Rhinolophus ferrumequinum: one gene and its partners. The protein of the gene in region 4 interacts with the protein of the main gene of each other region in a pairwise test. Links are inferred from orthologs where the notes say so. Each region holds a gene or a part of one and is shown on either strand. Other genes may lie near its edges.

Region 1 (7,480 bases), on a different chromosome or scaffold from region 4:
GTATGTACTTTAGAAGTGTTTGATGCATACTTCCCATTTCATCACACATAATTACTTGGGTTGAAAATTAATACAATCTATAATTTTTATTGCTTCATCAAGAATGTTAAGGGAAACTGGCATTATTATTTCCTGTGAATGCTTAGCAATGATGAATAAAATGACAGCTTGGTGACATCAGCTTTACCCACCATTACTTACGCACCATGAGCACAAATATCAACACAGTGAAAAAAAGGCAAATGACACCTTAGAGCTATTACAAAAAATAGTTTTGACCTCATGGACCTCTTCAGTGGAACTCAGGGATCCCCAGTGATGTGCAGATAACTTCTGAGTACCACTGCACTGCACTACACAGCCTCATGCATACATAGTGACTAAAACTGAAAAATGAGGAAGTGGCAACATAAGTACATTTTCAAATAGTAAGGCCAACACCACAAGTCAAAAGCAGATGTACTTCAAGAAGGATAAGCTGGGGACTCTGTCCTTCATAGCAAGCCTTGTACTACTATTTGACTCTTTAGGAGCATGTATTATTCTAATAAAAATCTGCAAAAAATGTCTAAGTACTTCCCCATTGTCAGACAAATAATTTGTTCCCTTCGACAAGGCTAACCCAAATACATTTTGTCCTGGGGAAACTCTTGCCCCTATATGCCAACACACTATAGTCACAGAAAATTAGACTCTTAAAGATATTAAAAGAAAAAGGTTGGAAAACACTGCCTCATCTCATTATAGAAAAACAGATGTTAACTAGAAAAATTTTCAAAATAAAATAGAACGCTCCCCTAGAAAGCCATTTCTCTCCAGGATCTCACAACTCTTAATACCGGGGATGCCAAAAAATGTCTACAAGTGGACACTTTGATCAACGCTCAAGCAGTAGTTCGCTGTAATCAGAAATGTCTGGACACTGATGGTAACCACTTTGAGCACCTCTTATAATTGCAGAAATCAAACGTGACTTGTATTCATCTTTTGTTATCGGTATATATTGAGTATTACAATTTTAATAATTTTCCTTTCTTATAATGTGTACGCATTTTTTTTTTGGTGTATGTTTCATGTTTATCCCCATTTAGAGGCAAACTCTGTAAAGCACAGACAAAATACCATCTCTGCAGATCCAAAACACATGAGCTGCACTGTAAGGTAGAAACTCTTTACAAAAGCTCTGTAACACAGCAAAATATTCTTCCTAGAAGAATTCATGACAGAATTTAGAAGAAAATCATACCAGAAAAGGGGAATTCTGTGTCAAAGGAGACTTCTCTGCATTCTTTAAATTCCGCTGCTGAGCAATGAAACGAATAAGATGGTTTGTTTCAGGAGAGCCCCGAACACCAACTGTAGAGCGTCGTCTGGATTTTTTAAGGTGGGATGATGACTTTCCTGTAATGAAAACTCTCTTTTAAATTGGAATAAAACAAGGCAATCATCAGTAATCATGTCCTGAAGATGTGTGGTGTACCAGCCGGAGAGAAAACATGATAAACACATGGTACATAAATCTAACTGAAGAATTATAGTGGGCAAAACTGTTCATACACGATCAGTTGCACAGAATCTTTATTTTGTCTACTGATTTATTCTATGTTCCTGGAATACCTAGTACTTAGAAGTTATTTATTAAACATAGTTGAGTGGAGTGAACCCATGAACACATTTATAAGTAGCTCTCATTTCTCTTGCATTATTTTCTGCACAAAGAGGTGGGTAATGTCTTGCTTTGGACTGAGAACTTCCCTTTTTCTGAATCAGGCAGTCTTATTTCCAGGGACTGAAAGGAAAGATCTCCACCTAGGCACATGTACTTTCATGCTCAATTCTTCAAGGTAAGTTGTTTTTCTTAGATACCGATCTAAGTACCACCTTTGGCACACTACCCGGAATTCTGAACATATACCCAAGCACACAAAATAAATCTAGCTTTTTAAAGGTCTGAGCGTGATGTTCTTGAGAGGAAAACACAGAATGGTGTGCCACTTTTCAGTCTTTTCTCAATCATGTATTACTTAGTCTAGTGCCCTTTGACTTTTAAGTCCCCCATTACCCTCCATTTCTAAATGCCATTCTCGAATCTAATTCCACTCCCATATTTCTTTCTTCTCCAAGTTAGTCTTCGCAGGTGAATTTCATTTCTACCCCTTGAAGATTAGCAGGAGCCAATTTTCTGTTTGTGATTTTGAAGAGGCATACCCCAACTTCATGTAATACTTTCTCCACTGCTCAACTTTCTCTTATTTTTGCCATATGTGACCACAAACGTGTCTTACTATTTATAGTACATTCCTGTATCCTATGTGTCCAGATCCAAAAGTGATTTACACACAGGTTCTCTTCCAGTCTGGACACAAAGCACAAGTTGGACTCAGGAACATTGTGCTAGGTGCCCTGGGACACCTGCATGGTCTCCTGCTATGCTGGATGAATTGTGCATGTTCACATAAGTCTCCCCGATCAAGCAAGTTTGCAGTCAATTAATTTAAATACATAAGGTAACAAGACAGACAGAGAGGGTAAATGAACAAAATTGAGCTAAAGTAATTTTTAAGCATTGCAATAGAAAGACAACGTCTCTTACCTGAAGAGTTCTTTACAAAGCTTTCAGGTGTAATTCCCAACTGCTCTACAGTTACTGTGGAAAAGTCCAAAGGTGATTTAAAAGTATCTAGTGTGCAATCATTAGGAGTCGCCTCAGCTGCATGCTTCTGAGGAGTGACAAGCTTTTTGTTTCCCAAAATGAAATTGGTGTTTTCTGAAACAGACATGTTGTAGGGGGCTAAGCATCATTATCAAGACCAATACCTAAACTTTAAATTTCAAAAGGAGGCAACAGATCACTACATACCAATATTATTAATAGCAGACTCCGTGGTTTCGGGGAGCTCGCTGACTTTTGAATCGGTATCCATCTGAAAAACACAGAGGAGAGAAAAAAGAAAAATAACCCACCCCCAAGCTTAACGTGGTTCCATCAAGATCCCCATTCAAGACTCAATTCTAATACAATCTCTACTGGCATGAAAATAGATGTCGAGAGTACTTTTTGGAGCTCAAATTAGAGATAAACTGCTGTTCGGGATGAAACAATGCAGACCCCATACTATAAACCATGGCTTTTCAACCTTCGTGAACACTTGAAGCATCGGGGTACCCAGCTAAAGACGCAGCTGGGTATTCCCAGATATTCTAATTCAGGAGGTGTGGCTGGGCCCCAGGGGCCTGCATTTTAGAAAGCACACGGGTGGTCCAGCTCAGGTCGCAGGAAAACCACTTATTTCCGTGGGGCCGGATAAACAGAACACACTTCTGAGAAACACGCCGATGAAGTCAAACCAGGGCACTTGCCTCACCTCTCAGTCCCGCAGTTTGGCTCTCCTCCCGCTTGGGTTTATTCTGAACGCTCCGCCGCACTCGACTATTGCGGTTGCTCTGCCTTCTAGAGCACGGCTCTTTGGTCCTGAAGGGTTAGCTCGAGAAAGTAACTGCTGGCCGGCAAGCCAGCCACCGGGGGCTGCCTCTTACCGTTCACCGACACCCGGAACACGCAGTACGCGGTACCTACACTTCAGCTCAGCACTCCTGCCACCCGCCGCGGGATTCAAATAGCCGGCCCCGCCTCCTCAGCGTCTCGACGTTACTCCACGAATGTGTACGCCGCCGCCACCCGCACGTGTCTGAGAGCACCCAGAACCCTCCCAGGCCTCTACCTCGCCGTCCCAGGAACAGGAGCTTCGTGGACTCTGGGAGAAACCATTGCTAGTTGTGGGTGCGCACTGACCAAAGGGATCAGCTGCGAACCTGTGTCCACAGGGACTATTTTCTGTGAGAGTTCCGCGTAGGAACCCTTCGGTTGGCACTTTGAAGCCGCCTCCCGTCTTTCGATTGGATGCTGCAAACTTCGAAAAGAATAATTTGACCAATCCTGACAGAACGACGGGATGGCTCTAACCCAATCAGCCATCCCTACGGCAGCCGTTCCCTCTGTGGGTTGAGCGATTGGATGGGTTGCAGCCGGGAGTTGCCGACTGGTGTGGGTCACTTCTCGCGCTCCACCTCTTTCCCTCAAACCCTGCCTCCGCCTGCAGAGGAGCTCTACCTGGTTTTGGGTTTGCGCCTGCTCAGTAACGCTTTAAGCCCGCCGTTGGGCTCCAGGTTCTGCTCTGATTGGCTGATGACCCTTCTCGTCTGCCAGACTGCAGCCTCTCTTCCCTCCCTCCACCTGGGTGGGTTAGTATGAGCCCACCCAATGCAGGGTGCTGATTGGTTGAGTGCTGGCCGATGCTGCCGGTTGATTGGTGGAGCTTAGAGTCACTCTGGGAGAGGTGGGGGAAGGGCTCCAGGATGACTGAGGAGCCCAGGGGCGGGGTGGACAGGAGGACCGGCCAACCCTGGGGTGTGGGACGGAAAGTGCGTGCGTGTGTGTGTCTGTAAGAGAAGGAAGGTGGCGAAGGGAGGAGATTTCGAGTGGGAGGAGGGAGGGGAAGGGCGGGAGAAGAGAAAGGTGGGAGGAAAGCCAGGTGGGAGGGTGGCGACTCACTCAGGACCCAGTGGGGGCAGCGCGATGAGGCGGGTGACCCTGTTCCTTAATGGCAGCCCCAAGAATGGAAAGGTAAGGGGGTCCGGAGGAGGCGAAGAGGGCCTCGCTGCTGGGGGCGTGGGCAACGGAGTGCGGAGCGGGCTCTTAGGGCAGAGGGCTGAAGTTGGGGAGAGGGGTTGGGAGGTGGACGTGCGCCGGTGTGGGGTGCGTTTAGAAGGTGAACATCGGGTCCCCGCGGCTTCCTCCCAACCCCGGGATTTCTAGCTGGAGCCTCTTTTACTCCCCAGTCGCCCCAGGAACTAGCGCAGGTCAGCTTGTGCTTGATCTTTACAAGTCCAGGTATGGGGCGGGAAGAACGCAGGTTACGGAGGGTCGCTGTCACCTGATCGCTTGATACTGAGCGCTCTTCCCACCTCCTCCCGGAAGACCCCGCTGCCCCCCTCCCCTGACTACTGAGGCCGCTTATTTCCACCTTCGTGCTGACTAATGCTCTGCTCCAGAAAAGTGGTGGATACAACTGAGGCATGTAAGGTTGACCGCGTAAAAATTAAACTCTTTATCAGTGGATAAATGAAATATTCTTCTGGGTCGCATAGAGGATTGAAAATTAGGGACATGAGGTCCCCCGCCGCCACCAAACTTCTGTACTCTGTTATTTCGCCTTATTTTAGCTCCTTAGAGGACTCTGACAATAGGCCAAAATGGATTGATTTGACATTACTCCTTGCTGTGTTAGGCCTTTGTTCAGGGTGTGGTATTAAACATTTTTCCAACGCCAGAACAAGCCAAAATGAATCCTGCTGCTTCTCAGCTTCTTGCCCCACCCATGAAAGTTGTTGGGCTTCTTTGGAAAATTTGACTGTTCAAGGCAGACATTTATGGTGCGTCTAAATGACGTCTACAAGTAACTAAGCATTAGAGTCTAAAGTAAAGGTAAATTGGCCTCACTGTATTATTTGCTAGCATGCTTTGTCTTCTGCATATTTTGAAAATATTGTAAATTTCTAAATAGTGTAAATGTGCCACGGTATAAAACGTGGTTTCCCAACTATTCTGCAATTTTGAGTAAACATGTTCTAAAAATCTGAACCACAGTGTAGTTTGTTGACTATAATTTTGTGTTCTTCTGGTTTTAGATATTTAATACCCATATAAAACAGAACTGGCATAAATTCAAGTTTTGGGGTTTTTTATAAATGCTGCCTAAAAATATGCTTAGCAAGATTTACATTACTTCTGATCATATTAACTTTTTCTTTCTCTACCTGTTTTGTCTGTTAACTACCACTCACAACCTAAAACTTACATTGTTATTGAAAGATTTAGTATATCCAAAGTTATAATTGTAATATGTTCTCAAAACCAGACCTCTGATTGACCTTTTTCCCAACATCTCTGCTATGTTATTCCATGAAAGACAAAATGTTTAGACCCAGTCATAAATATTTAACTGTGCTATGAATCTCTTCTGAAACCACTGAATTTTGTTATTGCCAAAGATTGTCTCTATCTTTAATAAAAATTTTAAAGCTGTCTAGTTTTGATGAGGTTAGATTTTTAGAGAATCTCAGAAGATTGGAAGACACATCTCAAATAAAGATAAATATGTTTATGTTACAAAAATCCATAAAGCCCCAAACTGGAGAATACTAGTATGATTCAATATTAAAAATAAGTCATGCCATAATCCTTACTACTCAACTGGAAAACATATTCTATGCCAAAGTTGTCAGTGTTTCCTCTCCCTTCAGCTGATTAAATATATATATATATATATATATATATATATATATATATGTATTTATACATATATGTATAATTCTGGAACATCGAATATATATATATATATTATTTGAGAAAAAGAGCAGAATAATAACAGCCTACATGTTAATATAAATAAAGTTTATTTATATTATAGTTAGCCAGGATGGCATGATCATGACATTGATGTTCATGAAAAACATGATGGAACAAAGCACAACTGTGAAATAGAGTTGGATTTCCCATCCACCAGTTGGAATAGCTGTGTCACTCCCATTATCTCTTTATTTACCTAGCTTCAATTTTTGTTTCCTGGTCATAAGAATAATGTCTGGTTTTTCAAATTTCCCTCCTGTAAAGCTTATCCAGTGGTTGCCATACTGGGCTATGAAGCCTTGGGTGGGGGAGGCAGTCACTGCAGGTGAAATCTGCTCACTGTGACTTTTCTGTGTAACTAATGAATAAACAATCAAGTGTAACTAGTGAATGTTTTGAGGTAGAAGAGAGGGCTGTGCATTCTTTAAAACAGTGAGATGGTACACCACAAAGGCTAGACAAGGGGATCCAGGGGAGTTTCAGAAGAAATATTACACTTTTGATATATTCGTGTATCTTTTCACTTAAAATTATAAAATATTGAAACTTGATTGTTTTCCAACCTGGAAAGACAGAGGTGCTTTCAATCACTGAAAGTATCAGCTGGTCCCAAGTCTTCTCAGAGAATGGGCTAATTCTTCGCTGGGTGGTTCACTTTGGCTTGTTGTGAGGTGTTGAAGCTTATAAGTACCAGATTAAGATTAGTATTATCCAGTTTTAACTAAATTAACCCTTACCAAAATGTCAAGTGGCTTTAAAAGATTCCTTCAAAGAATCTGCGGATTGAAGACAATATTAATTAAGCAAACACAAGTAAGCAATGAGAAAAATGCCTGAGCTGTCACTTCCCCAATATAAACTATGAGATTTTTGAAAAATTGTTGGATCTCTTTGAATCTGAGAAGTCAAAAAGTACCATATTTTAAAGACCGTTTGAAGTCCTGTTTAATAAATGCTACTGTGTTTCCCTGAAAATAAGACCTACCCCTAAAATAAGCCCCAGTCACCGTCAGCCAGACGGACACATTTAGTGATGCATTTAGTACATTACGACGATGTTCCAGAAGAAAA
Region 2 (6,969 bases), on a different chromosome or scaffold from region 4:
AAAGACAACAACTTGACTTGGAAAAAAGTCCTGGAAGTACACACTGTTCCCCAATAAAGTCCTGTTCCCCTTCCCCAATAAAATCTTTAAAAAAAAAAAAAAGACTTGTACATTGAAAACTACAAAATATCGCTGAAATAAATTAGACAGAAATAAATGGAAAGATATCCTGTGTTCATTGATGGGGAGATTTAATTTTTTTAAGCTGTCAATACTACCCAAAGTGATCTATAGATTCAATACAATCCCTGTTAAAATCCCACCCATTTTTTTTGTTTGTTTGTTTGTTTTAAGGAGGGCACAGCTCACAGTGGCCCATGAGGGGATCGAACTGGCAACGTTGGGGTTATCAGCACCACGCTCTAACCAACTGAGCTAACCAGCCACCCCCCCACACCAGTGTTTTTGAAGAAACAGAAAATTCCATCCAAAAATTCATATGAAATTTCAAGTGACCCTGAATAGCCAAAACATCTTGAAAAAGAAGAACAAAGTTGGAGAATTCATACAACTTCTTGATTTCAAAACTCATTAGAAAGCTACAGTAATCAAAACAGTGTGGTACAGACATAAGGACAGACATATATAGGCCAATGGTATTAGAATAGAGAGCCTCGAAATAAATCCTCATGCACACGGCTTAATGGTTTTCCACAGGGGTGCCAAGACATTCAACGGGGAAAGGATAGTCTTCAACAAATGGTGCTGGGAAAATTGAATATTCACATGCAAAAGAATGAAGTTGGATCCTTACCTTTACACCACATACAAAAATTAACTCAAAATGGATCAAAGACATAAAACTGTAAAACTCTTAGAAGAAAACAAAAGGGTAAAGTTCATGACATTGGATTTTGCAATGGTTTCTTGGCTATGACAACAAAAGCACAGGCAATAAAAGACAAAATAGATAAATTGGACTTCATCAAAATTAAAAACTTTTCTTCATCAAAGGATACTACCAACAGCATGAAAAGGCAACCGACCGAATGGGAATTCTTGAATTTTGTGCTGAGTACGTTACCCATCCAGGTACATTATTATTATTTTTAGTGTGTCCAGTTCTCAGTGGCCCCCTAAGAATGTTAAACCCTTACTCCAGTGGTGCTGCTGCTGAAACAGAACATGTCTTGGAGTGCTCTTCTTTCACCTGCCTTCCAAGCCTCAGAGTGTTGTTTTGCTGCCCTCCATGGTAGCAAATCCTCAGGGGTGAAACTGAATTTTGGAAACAGCCCCAAGTGGTTCAGAGCCAAGTCTGGTAGTTGTTGATTTTGACTAGAGAATAGATGGCTTTATTTATTTATTTATTTATTTATTTATTTATTTATTTATTTATTTATTTATTTTCTGCCTCATTTCACCAAGAAACTGAGGCCTTGGGCTGGTCCAAAGGACAATTTCCTTATGTGGTCTGGAGGCTGTTTACAGAGAGGAGTCCCCAAAATGTTCTGTCTTCTCCAGCATCGTGGAAATGGGTGCATAGTCTCCGACAGTAGATTATTCAAAACATTGTTTTCACTACAAGTGAACGAGCCAAAACCAAGTGCCGTAAGTGAATAAAAGGAAAGAATTTATTAGCCCCAAAGCCAGGAAGGACACTGAGGGAGCTCACAAAATTGAGGAAAAAGCACAGAACCAGGGCCCCAAGGGCTGGAATTTAGGTTGCATGCCTGGCATTCTCCTCCTCTCCAAGTGTCTCTGCCTCTCCTTGCTTGTTGACCTCTCTTTCCTCCTATTCCAGAAAGACCTCCCCAGAGGGCAAGAAACATGGTTGCCACAGCCCCCAGTTTAGTAATCCCAGTTCCATCTATAAATTCCAGGGAAGTTCTCTAATTGGCCTAGCTCAGGTCCAGGCCCACCCTTTGAGCCAATCATTGCAGTGAGAGAAATGCAGTTCTAAGACTGGCTGGGAACTAAGTCAGCTGTCTACTGCCGGTGTGTGTGTGTGTGTGTGTGTGTGTGTGTGTGTGTGTGTGTGTGTGTAACATCTGTTACCAAAATAAGGGGAGGGGAAAGAAAGCTTTCAGGCTACTTTGAACTACAACAAGGACAGTGCCACCTGGGGTGTGCTAAGAATCCACACGGTCTCCAGAATTCTTCAGGAAACTAGAATCTAGTTTGGGAGACAAGACACAAAAATAACCAGAATGCAACAGCTTGCAGTGACTCAAAGACTGGCTAAGAATATCTGGAACTCCCTACCCACCTCATAAGCTTGTCTCGGGCGAAAATTAGACACTTAATGTGAAAAGCCTTTGAAAACACATCAATAACAAAGTCTTTTACAGGTCACCTGACACCTGGTGTCAGACTGCCTTAGCTTCCTGAGCTACAAAATGGGAATGATACTAGTTCTCACCTCATAGGGTTGTTGGAGAATTAGGGATCATGGGTGTGGAGTACTCAGCAGAGTGGTATACAGTAGGTGTTCAACACATGTAAGGTAGGATTTTTGCATATTGTGACCTGAGCCTCTTTAACCACCTATAGGATAGACATGGCAAGGCTAACATTCCCACTTTATAAGGAGGACACAGAAATAAAGGACTTGTCTGCTAGTTATTAGTCCTGCTGGTGATGGCAGAGCTAGGGGAAGACCAGCACTGTGTTCCCAAGGTTCACATTCCAAAAGGTCACGCCTAAGAGAGGCCTGTAGAGTGCCAGGTGGAGGTGTAGAGAGACAGCCAGTGTTCATGGAGAAGTGGGGATGTCCTTTGGGGTCAGCCAGTACCTTGTACGAAGCAGGGTAGGCTGTGAAGGGATGTGCAAGCCCTCTGCCGGACTCCATTTATGCTGGGGGCTTGGAGCATTATGGGGGTTGGAAGTGCGTGGGGCTTATCACCCCAAGCCTTCCTCAGCCGTCTGACACCCGTGCCTCCTCAGGTACCCGGTCCCCACCCCCCAGAGCTCCTTTCCTGTGCGCATGTTTCCCGGACCCATGCATTCTCCTCTATAAATACCAGCTCTGGTATTTTGGGTTGGCAGCTGTTGCTGCCAGAGAGATGGCTGGGTTGACATGCAGCTCCTGACAAAACACAAACCCCTGGTGTGTGTGGTTGTGGGTGGTGGTGTGAGTAGGGGGATGAATCAGAGAGGGGTGGGGTGGATACAAGGGGGCAGCAGCCAGGCGAAGTTGGTGGTGCGGAGGTGAGTGTACATAGTGATTGGAAACTGAAAGTGGAACAGACCCTTTCTGGAAATCACCCTGTTGCTTATAAACTTGAGGCCCCACCTTCACCAGTAGGGGTGGGGGTGGGGGTGAGGAAAAGGGCCTATACTAGTCCAGAGGGAAACTGAGGCTCAGAGCTAGAACCCAGGTTCCAGTGTACATACCTGAGCAGGCCAGCTCTGGCCAGGATTGCTCTCTGCTCCCAGGGCACACTCCCACCCTTGGGCCTGCCTAGAGACTCCCCACCTCTAGGCCGGACTGATGGTCTCCTGGTCTTCACCTGAGCCCTCCCAAACTTCTGCCAGTTCTAGAGAATCTTTAGAAGAAAGGTGACTTGGAGACTTTCTTGGGAAGAGGCCTTGTCCCTTCAGTAAATGATCCAAAGTCTCATGTTGGATCAAAAAGGAGACCCTCAAACTAAGAGGGAGCTTCTCCGGGATTATCTCCCCTGATCAACCCCAGGAGGAGGCAGGCACCCAAGGGCTGAAAGGGGCCTGCCTGGGGCTTCCAAACATGCTCCCAGCCCTGGTGAAGCCGCAGCCCTGATAAAGGCATTGACAGGCCGGCCTGTCTTCTGCCCTCCTAGGTCCACCAGCCACTCCTACACCCCTCAAGGGCCCCCCACCCGCCGGGCTGGGGGCACAGGCCTCTTGCAGGGTAGCTGGCCTCCCCACCCCCACGCCAGCGGCCGCCCTTTCCTGGCAGGACAGCGGGATCCTGCAGCTGTCAGGGGAGGGGCGGCGGGGGCTGATGTCAGGAGGGATACAAATAGTGCGGACGGCTGGGGGCCCTGTCTCCCCTCTCCGCATCCACTCTCCGGCCGGCCGCCCGCCCGCCGCCTCCTCCGCACCGCCCAGCCTCGCCCGCGCCGCCACCATGAGCCAGGCCTACTCGTCCAGCCAGCGCGTGTCCTCCTACCGCCGCACCTTCGGCGGGGCCCCGGCCTTCCCGCTCAGCTCCCCTCTGAGCTCGCCGGTGTTCTCTCGCGCGGGCTTCGGCACCAAGGGCTCCTCGAGCTCGATGTCGTCCCGCGTGTACCAGGTGTCGCGCACGTCGGGCGGGGCAGGGGGCCTGGGGTCGCTGCGGGCCAGCCGGCTGGGGACAGCCCGCGTGCCCTCCTCCTACGGCGCGGGCGAGCTGCTGGACTTCTCGCTGGCAGACGCGGTGAACCAGGAGTTCCTGACTACGCGCACCAACGAGAAGGTGGAGCTGCAGGAGCTCAACGACCGCTTCGCCAACTACATCGAGAAGGTGCGCTTCCTGGAGCAGCAAAACGCGGTGCTCGCCGCCGAGGTGAACCGGCTCAAGGCCCGCGAGCCGACTCGGGTCGCTGAGATCTACGAGGAGGAGCTGCGCGAGCTGCGGCGCCAGGTGGAGGTGCTCACCAACCAGCGCGCCCGCGTCGACGTCGAGCGCGACAACCTGCTGGACGACCTGCAGCGGCTCAAGGCCAAGTGAGCACCCGGTGCTCCCAGAACCCCTTTTCCACGCTGGGCTCCAGGGACCCTTTCCTGCCCCTAAGAAGGTCATCTACTTGTGTCCCCCGAGGGGAGATAGGTTCTGGGTCTCTCCCTTGTGCTCCTGTTCGGCGAAGCAGTTTTTTTGGGGGACATTATGGGGTGGAAATGGGAGACCTTGGAAGACCAGGTGCCCTGTGGACAGCCCCCTGAGAAAGCATCTTAAGATGCCGGGGTGATGTTGATGGGGGTCAGGCAGGCAGATGGGTAGAGGAAAGAGGCCCAAGTGCAGTCGGAGGGGAAGGCGGAGGTTGACAGGAGACCAGGAAATCCGGGGCCAGCTGGGAAGGGCAAGGGGTGGGGAATCCAAGCAGTAGCTCTCGGCTCATCTGTGATGAGGCTTTGGGGAGGGGGTTAGAGAAGGGAATCTGCCCCTGGGCCGGGCTGAGGCTGTGCCATTTCACAAGGGAATGGGTAAGTTAGAGGAAACGGGAGAGTGGGTGGGGGACTGCAGCCCTCAGAAAACTTGGATGTGGGGCTTCACCAGGCTCCCAGTAGGAAAGGGCAGCAAGTATTCATGGGTCCTGCTTCTGAAAGCCCAAGTGAGCAGAGTCACCACCCTGCCGCCCAGGTCACAAACATCATTTGAGCACGTACACAGGCCCGGCTGGAGCTGCGAACCAGGAACACAGAAGTGGATAAAATAGACTCTGTTCCTAATCCCAGGGAGGTCACAGTCTGGTGGGGACATAGACTTCCAGGGTGTGGCTCTAGTGCAGAGATTGGGCCACTTCCTGTCCACTCTCTGGGTGGGCGGGGCCTCTTGTCTCCACCCAGCAGCCAGCTTTCCTTTCTGTCCTGAGCCCACTCCCTGGGCAGCCCAAGGCTAGCCATCTCCAGGGCCAGTTTTAGTATCCCCACCAACTGTCTGTTTCTCCATCTGTCTGTTCCTACCAGGCTGCAAGAGGAGATTCAGCTAAAAGAAGAAGCAGAGAACAACTTGGCTGCCTTCCGAGCGGTAAGCCTCTTTCGACCCCCAGCAGCCTTACCCCTCTTTCCCCCTGTGTGGCCCCTGGTCTCCCTCTGCCCTTCCGGGGTGATAGGTGACCCTGTCCCTCTTGTTGGACCTCTCCCAGGATGTGGATGCTGCCACTCTAGCGCGCATTGACCTGGAGCGCAGGATCGAATCTCTCAACGAGGAAATTGCGTTCCTTAAGAAAGTGCATGAAGAGGTATGCCCTGGGCCCTCCTCCCCAGGGTCCTTCGACACTGGTGAAAGTAGGTGGTGTGGGGGTGGGGGACAGTGGTAGTGCCTGGCTCTGGGAATGGAGGTGTGAGGGTGCTGGGGTGGGGAGGTGCCTGGTAGGGGACTGAAGCCCAGCTGCACCATGCAGGAGATCCGAGAGCTGCAGGCCCAGCTTCAGGAACAGCAGGTCCAGGTGGAGATGGACATGTCCAAGCCAGACCTCACCGCTGCGCTCAGGGACATCCGGGCCCAGTACGAGACCATCGCGGCTAAGAACATCTCAGAAGCTGAGGAATGGTACAAGTCAAAGGTAGGCGGCCTGGCCCCTCCCTCCCCCTCAATCCCAGGTTTGGAGTTGCTTTCTGTGGCTCCACCCACGGGGAGGAGGGTGAGCTAGGGTCTCCATGCTCCCTTGCCCACCTCTGCCTGCATCATCTCAGGGCCCCTCTCTGCCTTTAGGTGTCTGACCTGACCCAGGCAGCCAACAAGAACAATGACGCACTGCGCCAGGCCAAGCAGGAGATGATGGAGTACCGACACCAGATCCAGTCCTACACCTGCGAGATCGACGCCCTCAAGGGCACTGTGAGTCCCTGCCCACCTCACCCAGCTCAGCCTTTCCTGCCCGTAGCTCACACCCTCAGTCAGTGACGACGGGCCCATCACATACCCTCTCTGGGCCTCTGTCTCCTCATATCTGCCACCAGGGTAAAAACAGGTGGATTACCAGTTGGGCTTTCAGGAAATCATGGGGCTCCTATGTGGGTGCAGGGAAGGCTGAACATTTATCAGTTCTATTCTCTGAGTTTCCACAGAACACTTCATTTGAGTTCAGGGTTCCCTGGCTGAGATGGGTTTGACAATTCCTGGACCTGACTCTCTGGGGTTGCCTCCCAGCATGTTTGTGTCGCTGTCCATCTTGGGACCCTAGTGTTTCCCACCCACCCACCCCCAACAACCTGACCTTGACCTAGTCGCCCCTCCCCTGCAGAATGATTCCCTGATGAGGCAGATGCGGGAGCTGGAGGACCGCTTTGCTAGTGAGGCCAACGGTTACCAGGACAACATTGCTCGCCTAGAGGAGGAGATCCGGCACC
Region 3 (7,676 bases), on a different chromosome or scaffold from region 4:
AACAGGGGTCTGCAAAGTATAGCCCAAGGTTGGCTTCCTGGTTTTGTAAATGAATGCCCATTCATTTACATATTATCTGTGACTGTTTTAGATCACCCCGGCAGGCAGAGTAGAGTAGTTGCAACGAAGAGGCTTATGGCTGGCAAAGTCAAAAATATTTACTACTGACCCTTTGCAGAAAAAGTTTGCTGACTTCTGACCTAGGGTACTTAGTCCTTTGGAAATGTCTGCTTTTGTTTCTGAATTTGCTCTGATATCTTATTTCTTTTAATGTGGATCCCCAATGAAGCAGTACCCTAAGAATGTCTATTTTCCAGGGCTTACATGGTTAATACCACCATACCAAAGGCTTTACAAGTAAAAGTGCTAAACTGCCAGTATTTATTTAACTTACAGACTAATATTAGCTCAATATAGTTTTTCTATAGCGTATTTTGTAGCCCTTTCATTCCAATTCTCTATTTATCACTATTGAACACAAGCTTCCTTCTTAACGTCATTTTTTCCCCTACTTTTCAAGGTCATTTTGAATTATAATACAATCCTCTGTGGTGTTAGCTATCCAATTTGGCACCATCTGCAAATTAAATCAACTTGTCTTTTATATCATCACTCAAGTAACTGATGGAAATATTATGAAGAGCCTGCCTCAGGACATCCTTCTAAAATGTCACTGTTTCCCTCAAGGTTCAGCCGGAACCACTAATAATGTTTCAGTCCACCTTTAAGCTCCCACTCTTATAGAAATTGCATCTAGTCAGTAATTTTCAAACTTAAACTGCCAGTCCTTATGCCAGAAGTGGTACTGAATCTGCCAAATGGTTTGCCATATCTGTCATGTCTTCATTTGTCATGTATTCTAGTAGTCTCTCTTTCTTTGAAGTTAAGCTGGGGCCAGAGAACACTATGGCCAATGAAAGGTGAGCGGAAGTTTAAGTGTCTCTTATGGAGTGAAGTTTTGAAAGGCAGTAATGATTCACCAAGTCCCTGTTTCCTGTCTCAGCGACGACGGTGGAAGTATGCGCCGAAAGGAACCTTCATCAGCCTGGGTTCCTGAGCGGCTATGAATAGGAGACTCCTCCCCGTTGATCTCTGTAAACATGTAGCATGAGTGAGAAACACACCTTTGTTGTTATAAGCTACTGAGATCTGGGGGTTGCTTGTTACCAGAGCATTACTTCACCCATCCTGTCTGATACAGCTATTGAGCACCATAACATTTTTCTAGAAAGCTCTTTTCAAGCTAGGGACCATTCTTTTCTGTGTATCTTTTTCTGTATGTATCCTTCATAGACCTTTATCCATAATAGCCACCAATTAAATGTTTATTGCATAGAAGTGAATTGGTAATAGATTAGTAGATAGATAACTGACTACAATATTTAAGGATTCTTATGTTTTTCATCACTTTTGCATATAAAGAATTAATAATAAAAATAACTCCATGAACATCCACCTTCCTGAGTATCTTCAGGATGCTCTTCCATTGAACATGCTGGTCCTCCTCAATTGTTCGATAAAAGGATATTGTCATGATATGACAGATGTATCGCTGTTTACCATTTCCTGGTATTTATCTGGCTCAGCCCAGGTCCACCAAGTCTAATGATGGTAAGCCGGCCTCTGGCCAGTAGAGTAACCTGTGCTAACTACAGTGAGAGTATCAGCTTGGAAATCTGTCAATTAATATTTCTACATTGATGTGGAACTTCAATTAAACATTCTTGTGTTGTGAGAAATTTGGGGAAACATTACATTTTCACATTCCATCATAAATATGTGCACAGTCTTTCCTGTAAGGTCGTTAGCTTTATGGGGTGGGGGAAGGACATGCATAACTTGCTCCTGGTTGTGTGCCTGCATCATTAAAAGCATCAATAAGTATACACAGAATGATATTTTTTTAAAATCTCAGAATCTTTCAGTAATCTGTGAGATGTATAGCCATTTGATTTTCACCTTGGGGGTGAGGCTCAGAAATGTTAAGTAACTTACCCAAGGTCACGTAACCATGAGATGGAACCAAAATGGAAGCACATTCTGACCCTAAGGCATTTTCTCTTTCTTGGATAGTGTAGTATACCCAGGATGCAGTAGAAATAGCAAGGATTCTGGAGTCTGGTGGACCGAGATTTGAATTATAGCTCAACTACTCATTAGTTATATGTCATTGGGAATTTCTAAAATCTGCCCTCTGATGTTTTCTTTAAACCACAATGAGATTTTTCTCCCCTTCAAATAGGTCTTGTATTTTATTTAGTTTCCCATAAGTCCTATTTTTTGGCATAGTGTAATTATTCAGCTGTAAGTACTCTCTCATTGGGGTTCTCTATGGTTAGTTTGAATTCATACTGCTTCAGTGACCCAGCCTTTCCCAAACCATTTCTTGAGGCATCCAAAATGGATTTAGCAGAGGGTTGTAGTCCCTCTTTGAAATATGCTACTTTGAGATCCAATTTTCATTTTGACCTTTCAATTCAATAATTATTGCCCAAGATATTTTGTGTTTAAAACCTAAATGATTGTTTGCTTAAAATTGTAAGAAAAAATTTGAAGGCCAGCTTAAGGCACTTAAAGGTTTAGCCTGCCTTGGAAAAAAAATGCATTCTTCGTCTTGCATCAACATGTTAATAAAGTCTAAAGTTCCTGCATAAACAGAACTTGCTTCAGTGGGAATTATGAGAACATAAAGGGTGCAGGATCATAAATAGACTATATTAGTGAAAGCCATTTACCTGGCATGGCACACAGTTTTATTTAAGATTAATGAAAACCCAATAAGTAGAAAACACTGATATTCCTTCCAGTGGGGGAGTCAAGATGAGTCTTAACTTGATACAATAGAAATGTGTGTACTGTGAACAGAAAGATGTGTGCAATATTTGCAAAGTTATATTTTCATAATATTTTATAACCCAAATTCATATTCAATAAAAATATACTTCCTATCTCATTTTATGACCTTTCTGGAGTTACTTAAAGGCAGTCATTTTAGCAGTAAATTATGACTTTATAAAGAGTGTTTTAATCAGTTTGTATATTGCATTTAAACTCTCTGGATACATGATTATTAAAAATTATATTTGAACATGGAAAACTGCCATGTTAATGGACTGCTGCCTCGTCAGGGTGACTCTAGTTTTGGAAATTCCACTGCAGTTAAATTCTAGAAGATCTGCTAATCTTGGCTTTTCTACAAATTGATCATGAGACTTTGGACCAATCACTTTATCTCTGCAAGTCAATTTTGTTATCATGGAAAGGAAACAATAACACACACTGCATCGTGCTCCTGTGGCGATATAAAGAGAAATTGTATGCGAAAATCCTTGCCCATTTGTAAAGTGCTATTCAAAGATTAATTACCCTTCCTGACAGTGTGATTTGTGCACTTTACTGCTCTTAACAGAAACTCTCTATGATTTGTTTGTATCCGTGCTGGCTTAGGCAGTATGTAAACATTCATTGTCTCTCCTTTCCCGAGCAGAGACCTAAACCATGGCACTGAGCTATTTTTACTAAGATTGTCACTACTCAAGGAGCAGTCGACCAGTGGATGAAATGGGGACAAAGGATTCACTTTAAGACGGGTTTTGTTCAGCAGGCAGTCTTCACCCCCACCGCTCAGGTATTAGAAAGTCTTGAGTCTCTACTTTATAGTAAGACTTTCGTGGAATTGGTTAGAATTAAAAAGAACTATTACTTTACTCAGCGGTAGATAAATGTAGGGAAAAGAGCCAATTACTGGACAATTGATTTAAGTTACATACTTACATTTAAAAGCTGTGTTTTGAACCTAGAGTTAGGCCTTCCCCAGAATTCTTTTTAAAATGTGTTTTCTTATCTTCGTAAGTCCAGGAAGTTGTTTTAAAATTTTTACATATAATTATGCAAATTCAGCAGTCTTAGATTTCTTTCCTGAAACCATCAAATAACACTTCACTATATGGGCTCAGGAGGGTTATTACAGGGAATAAATAGATGCCATTATGTGTCATTTTGCCCATCAAAGAATGCAGTAGCAATTACTACATTATAAAGGGAGTAGACTCAAAATGATCACATTGCATTATCTACTAAAGGCCTGGGAAAGTTGAATAACTATTACTTACTATGCTCAAATAAAGCATTTGAGCCTTATTGATAGAGGTTTGTTCACATTCTCTTCCTGTCACATGTTCTATTCACTTCTTTGAAAATAATTTCAAGATAAGTTACCCTGGTTTTAAAAACATAAAAGACAAATGATAATATCCTATACTTTGGTTTTTCTCCCTACAATGCCTCCAGATAATGTAAGGTTGGTCACAGCTCATGATATAAAATACTAGCTGTTGACTCACAGTTACACTAGAAGGGCCAATTTTACAGACTGCCAGGATAAAGATGATTTTAATTAAATCGCACAAATCCCTTTGTACTGCAACCAAACCCTACACTGGCTGACTGACTCTGAGCCAGTCTGGCTTGTGTAGAGTTAACCAGGTTACAGGATTCCTAGTTAAGTTCTTTCACCAGGAATGCAATTCATGTTTACCTATATAAGGAAACCTGTTCGGCTGACCTGAGTTTGGCGGATTTTTGCGCTGACTGGGAGGCGTGTAAGCACACAGCCTGAGAGGGGGAGTGATTCGGAGCTGGACAGAGCAAGCTTCCTGAACGCTCCAGCCATCCAGCTGATCCCAGGCAGCCTGCTTGGAGGACCTACAGGTTTGCCTCTTCCAGATCCAGATCACAGCTGAGGAACAAAACCCCGTCCTGGGAAAAATGGGGAAGCCGGTGAGTCTTACCGATCTCTTTCTGCTTGCTTCTGCTAAGTGGCAGCCTCACTGCTCACACCCAGGAGGCAGAGGGAGAGGCTTAGCTCAGCCTCTCACCCCACAGCTCCTTCCTGAGCAAACACAATGCTTCGCAGATACTTCCAGACAACTTTCCTGCCTGTTTTGTACACCCAAAGTCCACAGAGGCAAGGATTTTAGCACTTTACACATTCCAGAGGCTGTTTTTACTAGCGAAGAGTTTCTAGACCATCACGATGAGCAAACTTTCTCATGTTTGTTGCACTCTAAAACCCTGGAAATGAGCCTTGGGGTGCTTTGCGAGAAGGCTGAGTCCCCGAGGAAGTAATAGTAAATCTAAGTGGGGTTCTTACAACCACAGGCAGTGTGATATTCTGCAGAAGTGCAATTTGTCACGAAAAAGGCAGTCTGAAGGTATCATTTTTCATTCATGCAGCAGCAAAATCTTTGCATCCTGCACATGGAATAAAGGACAACTTCTGAGACACTGAGGAAAGAAAGAAGCCAAGCTGGGCTCTTTGTTCTAGACAATGTAAAGACGCTCGGGCTTGCATTTTGACAAGTCGCGCATGTCTATTTATACATAAGGCGAGAACGATGAATAAAGGCTGTATGTCAAAGGCGCTGCGGTCGATTGAGTTAAAGTTTGGCTATATCCTATATGTATACAAAGATCTCAATCTGAATGTAATTAAACATGGACATGTGCAAGGGTTTCACAGACCTGCAGGGGCATTTTCGTTCTAGTTGGGACAATTGAGAAAGAAGGCAAAACTATCCCAACTGAGTTTTGGGGCACAGGTAAAACTTTTGAAGAAAGTCGATTTCTTTCTATATATATAGCAGAGCTGTCAAAAGTGATTTGGAATCAGGTACATTTTTATTTTTTTTTCATTTTTATTTTTTCATGCCAAAGTGGTTTCTTCATTGAGTTAGCTTGGATAAATGTTTTGAAAATTTGACTGCTCATGTGTCAAAGAAAGATTGTCATTTTCTGCCCAACACAGGGACTTCGTCCTAGAAGTTTAGGAAGCAGCATTGTGCTACTGACTGCAGCCAGTGGCACGAGCACCCGATTTTGAATTTCTCCTATTAAGAAATTAATTTCTTAAGTTAATTTCAAGAAAAGTACTCAGCGCAAACAAGCAGATTTGAGAGAATGGCCCCTTTTTTAAAAAAAAATTGCAAGTCATAGTCCAATCCCTAGTGAGGCTACTGATTGAATAGAGGGAACGGCAAGTGCTTCTTCATAAAAACAAAAGCTACGGCCAGTTTTATTCGGGGCCCTTGACTTGAAAAACCTTAACTCTTCATAGTGACACAGTTTAAATGAAACCTGCTCACCTCTATGAGATTGAAACCTAGAAAAGCAGTGTGTGTGATACAGTAGACGTTTTAGGAAATAAAATTCTTCATAGCACAAGCAGCAGAACTGCAGAGACTATTGCAAATGTTTTAAAGCTTGTTAGCTCCTAGGTGCTGCTCAGAAAAACAGGAGTCTTGATATTGTGTTGCTTTCAGTGGGAATCAGTAACCCAGGAGACACAAAACACTATTTTAAAATATACGGTTAATAACAGATGTTTCTACCGGGTTGTCTCACCCTGCCGATGAGATGGCCTCAAGCCAAATCAACCAGCACGTCCGCCGTTTTTCCTGTGAGTTGATATGTACACAGTTATTATATACTAATTACATCAACAGCCAAGGGACTATATAACCAGAAAGATAGATAAGTCTCCTGGGGTGGGGAAGGCCGAGGCTAAGCATAGGGTTTTTGAATCTCATGTTTAGAGTTCTCCTTGCCAGGGGCATATGAATTATTGTACATGACTGGGAGTCCCAGCTCCAGAATCCACTTATCCTCGGTTCCTCATCGGCTCATTTGGGGGCAATAATGGTGATTATTGTATTTAACACTTTGGCGTTCATAGCATTCCAGGAGGATTTCTTCTTGATGATTAAAGTTATTTCAGGGTCCGAGCTAATCTGCAATGAAAGATACTTAGGACATGGTGGTGTTGCATTAAGCCTTTTGAGTCACTGGTGCTGTGTGCTCCGGTGGAGGGTTAACCATTCCGCAGCTGCTTAGACCTGTGAGATGGTGAAAGAGTGTCCTGGTTAAAGGAGATTGGAAAGTAGGGGGGGAGGGCGGGGGAGAAGGGGAGAACAACAAAGAAACACCAGTCTTCTCGGAGCCTTAATATGTTCATCTGCTAATATGTGTTGTGATTCCCCACCAAAGTGTAGCATGTGAAGAATGGTTTGCTGCAAACTCACCTGACAGCCAGTCATCCTGAGGAAAATTCTTGAAGACAAAGCCTCCCAATGGGTGGGCCACAGAGCACTGGTCGATGATGAGTGGGTTACAGACATACCCAGAGGTTGAGTCCTCTTGGCATCTGGGCCATCAGACTCTGCTTGGGCTGGCGGTATCCCCCAGAAGGTGATCTCTGGACCACACAGCTTCCTCAGTTTGCCCCACTATATCGTATAGATAGGATCAACTTCTCTATCTGTCAGGATGCGTGAAAGCTAGCACACTGTGACCATCCAGGCCCAGAGTGTAGATCGTGCAAGTCAAAATTCTGCTACGCTGGGGGTCACTGTGAAGAAAAATATACTAATATTTATTGTCTTTCATGCTATGGTGGGATGTCAAGGCCCTCTATATGTCATCCAGTTTGCCCTTTTTATTTAAAGAGGGGTGTGTGTTGTCCTGTTCTTAAAGATCTGAAAAGCTAATAGTGAAGTGTTTTTTTATAAGATCCTTTCTAATATTTAGTTATCGTTTATACTTCCCTTTCTCAAACTGCTATCAGGGTGTGTTTGTCTGGGATTCTCCCACCACCAGTGTGGCCTCGTCCAGAGGCAATG
Region 4 (6,845 bases):
ATTCTGAGTACAATGTCTGTTCTTTAACATATAGCGTGGGAAAAAGAATATTAATACAAATGAAAAAAACCAGCAAACTTCTAAAAAAGCCAGATTGGTCAGACGAGCAACTCTGAGTTAAAACCTGACGGAATAAGGGAGATACTTGCCCTTGTATACGATAATCCCCTTTCACCTTGTTACTTTTCATCAGTTAAACTAGATGAAATCAAACAAAACCTCTTGTCTTCGACTGGTTAATTAGAAATACACTGGTTAACAAAAAACAGATTCTGAACCATCCATAATACTGAGAAGTCCAAAAGGCACATATTTCCTTTTGGGTAAAAATTAGCCAAAATGAGCTTAATCAGTGCCACTGAGGAGAAGAGGGTGGTTTATCCCATTTCATCCAACCCCTACTCTATTTCTTATGTTCTTGTTAATTTTGTCAAAATCAAATACAGGACATAAAGAAAAATGAAAATGGCTGTAATAGATACAACTTTACTAGATTCAAGTCTAGTGAAAGGGACCACAGCCTGGTAGCAATGTCAAGGTCACAGAGGTTAAGAAATTGTTTTGTCCTCTTAATATTGTCAGGTATGAAGGAATGGAGTTTAGAATAAAGATAACAGTTAAAGAGTGCTGACCAAAACTCTTTAGCTTCTGTGACTATATGGTTTTTGTGACAGTTTTTATTTTTAAACTGAATGCCATCAAATGAAGTTTGTGGCTTGTGACCAGCATTTTTTAAAACAAAGAAATAGAAAAGAGGAGAAAATAGAATATATCGAACTATATAACACGTAAAGATAAGTTTTGTTTTGTGAAACTTAGCTTTCGGTTATATATTTGTATGTGTGTGTGTTTAGGTTGCTTTGTAAAACATGTGGTTTCCATGTGAAATGACAATAAAAAAAAGTGTGAAAGCCATTGAGTTGAGAGATAGGCCTAGGAATCAGGCATGTCCTACACTTGTAAAGAGGGTTAGCATTCATCTGAATTGAAGGAAACATGACTTGCTAAACTAGCAAAGGATTTAAATTATGTGTTTGGGCCCAAAAATTCTTCAGATAAGAATCTCTTAGTGATCTAGGAAGAGATAATTTTCCACATAAAATTAGAAACAGTACAAGGAAAAGGAAGGAAGAAAGGAGGAGAAAAAGTACAAAGAAAAAAAAAATCGGGAACCTGTTAAATTGAATGAACGTGCTGGGATGTACACCTCTACCTAAAACAGAACTTCAGAAGCAGATAGAAAAAAGGGCAGGAAAGTATTTATTCCCAAGTGGGGGAAATTGTAATAAATCTGAAATGAATCCTGAGCAGCAGAGCCCGTGGTAGGGGCTTGTAACAGGCCTCTGCTTAACAGAAATAATGATAGCTAACAGCTATTAAATGCCAGTTTATAATCTCTAGCATTTAAACTTCACAACAACTTTTATGAGGCAGATAGTAACATTTCTCCTGCAAGGTCAGTGGAGGGTGGATTAAATACTATAAACTTTAAAAAATAATTATAAGAAAATATCCCTAGTTATGGGTATTAGAGTGTAGAACATCCCCCCTCAAGTTCCTGATGGACATGGTTTCCCATTATGGGCAGAGGTTGAGGCAGACGGTCCTAATATCTAATAATTCTAATGAGAATATAGACACGTCCAAAATGGGTATGTAATTATATTACTTATGTTTTTCTTCATCAAAATCAAAATAACGAATATTTTACTTTTTTCTGAGAATGGCAAGTAAATGATCATCCTTGTGTGATTTTATTTCTGCAATTCTTTTGTATTATTCAATGTAATAATTCGTATTAAAAATGAGAATTATAATATTAATACAAATGATAAAATCAAATCGGATGATAGGATAAAAATTCAGTTAAAATTAGTTAAAATTAGCAGGTCTCATTTCGCCTTTTTTTTTTTTCCTCCAGCAGCATGTGATAGTAAGAATTTTAACCAAAGGTCTTTCTCTCTATACTGTATATATTCATCGTAAATTACAACTTCTACTAATTTTCCTCCCTGTGGATGGGTGGCTCTTTCCTAGGTTGATCGATCATATACTTTTTTCAGAGATATGGGATGACCAAATCTATATAATAACTTCATTAATTTTCAAAAAGCAGCATTAATCTCAGTTTTAAAAGTAATGCTGTAAGTGCATTGTACAAATCTGGGGTAAGAGAGTTTAACAAGAAAGGTATTCCACGGTGAAATAAAAGATAAAGTGCACAGTTTTTCAGAAAATGGTATTTAATAATCTTACTCTTACTCTTACTCTTCTACTGAAGCACTAAGGCCTTGAGGTTTAAACAGATCAGGAGATACGACTGCATTTTCTGGGCCCGGGCTCAATTCTCTTTTCCTCACTGCGTTGGCAATGAGGACCTTTACTGATTTTTTAAAATGTGAAGCCACACGGTCAGATTTCTAAAGCTTTCAGTCACACATGTAAGGGTTGCCTGGGCTCCAGGTTGAGAAATGAGGGATCAAGGTCCAGCCAGCATTGCACTAAGACCTTTGGAACACAAAGTGGGCCACATAAGTCAAAGTTGCAAGCAAGCAGAAGGGTTCAGCACGAAGTTGGCATGCGCAGACCCGGTTCGAGTCCAGCTCCCCCGCTTCGTAGCCATCTGTCTGCCTCTCAGCCTTGGTTTCCTCCCCAGCGAAATGGGCATGAAAGTTCTCTGCGACGATTCACCAAGCTGACCTATGTAAAAGGCCCTGGCAAACGCCATCGTTCAATTTGAGTCAGTGTCTTTCTCCGTTTAAACCAGGAGGGGAGAGTCAAAGCCTCCTGAGCAAGCAGGCGGGGAAGGCCCCGCTGTCCCCAGGCTGGAGGCGACCGAGCCCGTTACCTGATCGCGTTGACCGGCGGGTTTCGGAGGCGAATCAGCGCCAGAGAGTTCTGTAACCGCGTATACTCGGCCATGTTTCCCGGGTCGCTGAAGTCGCCTCCGCCAGCCGCCGCAGGGCGATGCCACTTTTCCTTGCGCACCGGTCCAGCCCCGCGAGGAGGGGCGCCCGCGGGGCCAATGGGAGCCCAGCGCCGCCTCCCGCCTCCCGGCCGCCCCCCCCCCCCCCCCCCCCGCACCGACGCGCACACTACGTCGCCGCCCTCCTGCTCCCCCTGACCCCAGCTCCGCGTCTGCAAAAGTTCGTCGTCTCTTTCTTTTTTTTTTTTTTTAATTTATTTTTAATTTATTGGGGGTGACAATTGTTAGTAGAATTACATAGATTTCAGTTGTGCAATTCTGTATCACATCATCCATAAATCACACTGTGTGTTCACCACCCAGAGTCAGCTCCCCTTCCATCACCGTACATTTGATCCCTCTTTCTATTTATTGGCTCCCTACCTGCTCCCATCACAAAGCAGATCTAGGAGGACAGTGGAAAATGGGTGGAATTGCCAGCAAGTGGAGGTTTGCAAACCCGATTTCTCTGGGCAAATTCTGAGTTCACTAAGTTGTGGAGCTGTCCTTATCACAATTTTCATCTTCATGATCCTTAACAGGGACCGATATATGGGGTCCTGACAATTACGTGATATGACACAAACCTGGAATATTAAATCCATGCATCATGCATTTCACCTAAATGTTCACCTACTGACATGAACTGAGTATTTACAGAACAGTCGTATGGCAACCTAGTGAAACCTGAGTTTCTTTTCTGCCCAGTCCTCATATTTCTTCTTCTGCCATTCCTTAGGCTTGTGACTTCTAATACTGCATTCATTCATGAATTGTGCACCTATTATGGGCCAGGTCTAGGCAGGTGACTAAAGATAAACAAGGCTCAAACCCTTTTCTCTAAAAGTTCAGGTTGGACTTTTAGATGTGATTGGCTTCTGGTGGTCTCCACAGTCTGCGAAGTGGTCCGAGGGCAGTCTGGAAGTTTCAGAGGAAAAGAACAACGGAATGAGTTTGTTCACTGGTGTTCCACAAATTTTAACAATGATTAAGGACTATTTTCATAGATATTCTTTCACTTCTTGGAATTCAAAACAGGCTCCAGCTCCTGTGAAAATGCCAATTGCCTTGAAGCCCTGGAAACAAGTAGCAGTCAGAAGGGATCCAATCTGTCAAAGACAGACCTCACTTGTACCAGTCACAAACAGCCCAGTGCCAATGCCTCTGGGTGCCAACAACCAGCTTCTTACAGGTCATATCAATCTTTAATGCCTCTGCAGGTTCGCCAGTCCCTGAACTCTACCTTGCCCAGAACCTCGATGTAAGATCAGCAGTTTGCTTTGCTCAGAGAGCCTGTGCATGACCTGCAGAGCTTTCCCTTATTATAGGAAGCAGTAAATTAAACTTTGTCTTCTTATTTCAGACATTGGTCTCTAGGAGAAGAACTCTGCCGTGGCATGCTAGCAAGTTTGAATGCCTCCACAAAGGCTGTGTAGGCAAGGCATAACAGCTCTGAATGGCCGGAAACTCTTCCTGGAGCAAGGGGACATCAGGAGGACGTGGAGCCATTTTGAGGCAATTTTTCATCTTTACCTTGGAGGAGTCAGACACACATCATTTCTCATCTATCTCCTAGTTTCAGTTGAACACAGAACTTTCTGCTTTGAGTCCCTCCACCCCCATCCCTTAGATACAGCTGCAAACTTCCATCAAATTTAAAATTTAAGAGGGCACTTACTCTCAGATTTCTGCAAGTGGTGACCCTGCCCTGCTTCTCAACAACAGAGCAACTTGGTTCCTGTCATCCTTCATCCAGCACTTTCTGTTTGGTGTCATCCTGTGGGACTAGGAACACAGGGAGCTGATACCACGCTGACCTTTCTTTTGCTGTCTATGTAAATAATAAAGTGTCTAAATTTATTTTGGGCTCCTATGGGCCAAATCTGAATGTGGCGAGCCAATTTAGCAGATGGCACCATGCTGCTTCTTGCAGACTGCTTGACCATTGATCGTTGCTTGATGATTGTGATGAATTGTTATATGCTTAAATTGTCTTCTCATTCAATTTGTCTCAGTAAGTGCTACTTAACTGGATGCCATTCCTCTTGGCTAAGGCACTTCCACATCATTTGCATGTTACTGCTTTTGCTTGTTAAATATGCTTTTGTCATTGTTGTCATTATGTTGCAGTTCACGAAAATAGATCAGTGGATCAGAAGTGGTTCATTAAAGATCTCAGGAAAAATAAAAGAATGTAAATATTAAAATTTATGTGCTTACTGTGTACTCACAGGAAGAACAGAGATGCCTACCTAAACTTGGCTTTCCCTGCATGGGTGACCTGTAAGCCCTGGAAACTGACAGGGTATTGTGTTGTGAAACTTCATTTCACAGTGGCATAAGTCCATCAGAGCTGAAATCTCTGGTAAACCAATCAGGTTTATCCAGAACAAATGCAAAATATTGCTTTCCACCTGGAGTGATAAAATCTCACATGTGCTCTTCCCTGTCCTTTCCCCTTTTAATGTGGGATACAAATGGACCGCAGGCCCCAGGGGAAGACAGAGCCAGAGATAGAAGCCTGACCGCCCTAACAACTTTGAGGAGAGAGGTACCCCATTGACTGGAACCAACATGGACTGCTACAGGAGAAAGAAAGAAATGTAGGTCTGTTTGTTAAAACATTTCAACTTGTCCTGACTAAAACAGTGAAGCAATGAGCAGTGAGTACACTCTTGAACAGGGAAGTTGGCTGATGCTTAAGAAAAGCTGCCCACGCAAGTGTTGAAATAAAAGGTGAGATATAAATATTTTCTTCACTATACCAGTAATATCAGTAAATGACCATTTCTAGCATTTCAAGTGGCTTGCTCAAGTGTTGAGCCTTGGAGAGACACACACTCGTGTACACACACATATATTTAGTATCATAATGATGAAGATTAACCAGCTATCAGGATTCCTAAAGAAAACCCAACTGTGGTGAAAATGATGCAGTCATTATCTTCACTGATTGAAATAAGTCCTTAGGACTTTCAACTCCCTGATTCTACTTTTATTCTCAGAAATAATTACTCCCTGGGTCTACTTTTGTTATACGTTAAGTCTCCCATTAATAAAATTATTTTTCAGCAAATATTCAAAGATGTTAACAAATTCTGTCTTAAGTCTGTTCCTTTTCAGGCCCTTTCTCAGGAACTATCATTTCTCATATGATAAGGTATCCCTAGTTCTTCACGCTGTTGGTTGTTCGGGGCATTCTTCGTATTTGTCAGTGGCCCTATAAGTAGCACCTATTCTCTGGATTCTGCACCTGTCATCAGTCAGGTCATATTCATGTTTCCCTAACTCATATTTACTCTTTATTTCTTATCCATAAAGATATTTCTTTCCTTTCACTTTTTTAAAAGGATAATTAATTTTTATTGATATAGCTCACATACTATACAAATCATCCTTTTAAAGTGTACAATTCAGTGATTTTTAATGTCACAAAGTTGTGTACCATTACCACACTCTAATTCCAGAACATTTTAATCACCCCAACAGAAGCCCTGTACCTACAATTCCCCTTTCTTCTTATCCCCTAGCAACTACTAATCTACTCTAACAGAGACACTAATCTGTCTCTACTGATTTGCCTATTCTGGATATTTCATATAAATAGAATCACACAATATGTGGCCTTTTGTGTCTGGTTTCTTTCACTAAGCATAATATTTTTAAGATTCATACATGTTGTAGCATGTATCAGTACTTCATTCCTTTTTATTACTGAATAATATAGTTCATTGTATGTACATACCACATTTTGTTTATTCATTCATCGGTTGATGGGTATTTGGGCTGTTTCTACTTTTTGACTCATGTGAATATACTGCTATGAACATTTCATGTATGTGTTTTTGTGTAAAGTATGTTTTAAATTCTCTTGGGTACA

What was found.
Region 1: the proteins of EHHADH (region 4) and KCTD9 interact in binary tests that used the Homo sapiens proteins (3 or more experiments, as listed by UniProt). The two-hybrid records come from large-scale screens. The link is inferred for Rhinolophus ferrumequinum from reciprocal best matches to the Homo sapiens genes EHHADH and KCTD9.
Region 2: the proteins of EHHADH (region 4) and DES interact in binary tests that used the Homo sapiens proteins (3 or more experiments, as listed by UniProt). The two-hybrid records come from large-scale screens. The link is inferred for Rhinolophus ferrumequinum from reciprocal best matches to the Homo sapiens genes EHHADH and DES.
Region 3: the proteins of EHHADH (region 4) and MID1 interact in binary tests that used the Homo sapiens proteins (3 or more experiments, as listed by UniProt). The two-hybrid records come from large-scale screens. The link is inferred for Rhinolophus ferrumequinum from reciprocal best matches to the Homo sapiens genes EHHADH and MID1.

Annotation. Positions count from the first base shown.
Region 1 is NC_046301.1:41,687,117-41,694,596, forward strand, and holds the start of KCTD9 (BTB/POZ domain-containing protein KCTD9), read left to right. Parts: upstream 1-4,480; 5' UTR 4,481-4,576; coding exon 4,577-4,624; intron 4,625-7,480. UniProt on the Homo sapiens protein: Substrate-specific adapter of a BCR (BTB-CUL3-RBX1) E3 ubiquitin-protein ligase complex, which mediates the ubiquitination of target proteins, leading to their degradation by the proteasome.
Region 2 is NC_046291.1:16,097,821-16,104,789, reverse strand, and holds the start of DES (desmin), read left to right. Parts: upstream 1-3,950; 5' UTR 3,951-4,045; coding exon 4,046-4,623; intron 4,624-5,583; coding exon 5,584-5,644; intron 5,645-5,762; coding exon 5,763-5,858; intron 5,859-6,020; coding exon 6,021-6,182; intron 6,183-6,331; coding exon 6,332-6,457; intron 6,458-6,863; coding exon 6,864-6,969. UniProt on the Homo sapiens protein: Muscle-specific type III intermediate filament essential for proper muscular structure and function.
Region 3 is NC_046284.1:118,835,035-118,842,710, forward strand, and holds the start of MID1 (E3 ubiquitin-protein ligase Midline-1), read left to right. Parts: upstream 1-4,676; 5' UTR 4,677-4,779; intron 4,780-7,676. UniProt on the Homo sapiens protein: Has E3 ubiquitin ligase activity towards IGBP1, promoting its monoubiquitination, which results in deprotection of the catalytic subunit of protein phosphatase PP2A, and its subsequent degradation by polyubiquitination.
Region 4 is NC_046285.1:60,046,362-60,053,206, reverse strand, and holds the start of EHHADH (peroxisomal bifunctional enzyme), read right to left. Parts: upstream 3,004-6,845; 5' UTR 2,923-3,003; coding exon 2,849-2,922; intron 1-2,848. UniProt on the Homo sapiens protein: Peroxisomal trifunctional enzyme possessing 2-enoyl-CoA hydratase, 3-hydroxyacyl-CoA dehydrogenase, and delta 3, delta 2-enoyl-CoA isomerase activities. Catalyzes two of the four reactions of the long chain fatty acids peroxisomal beta-oxidation pathway.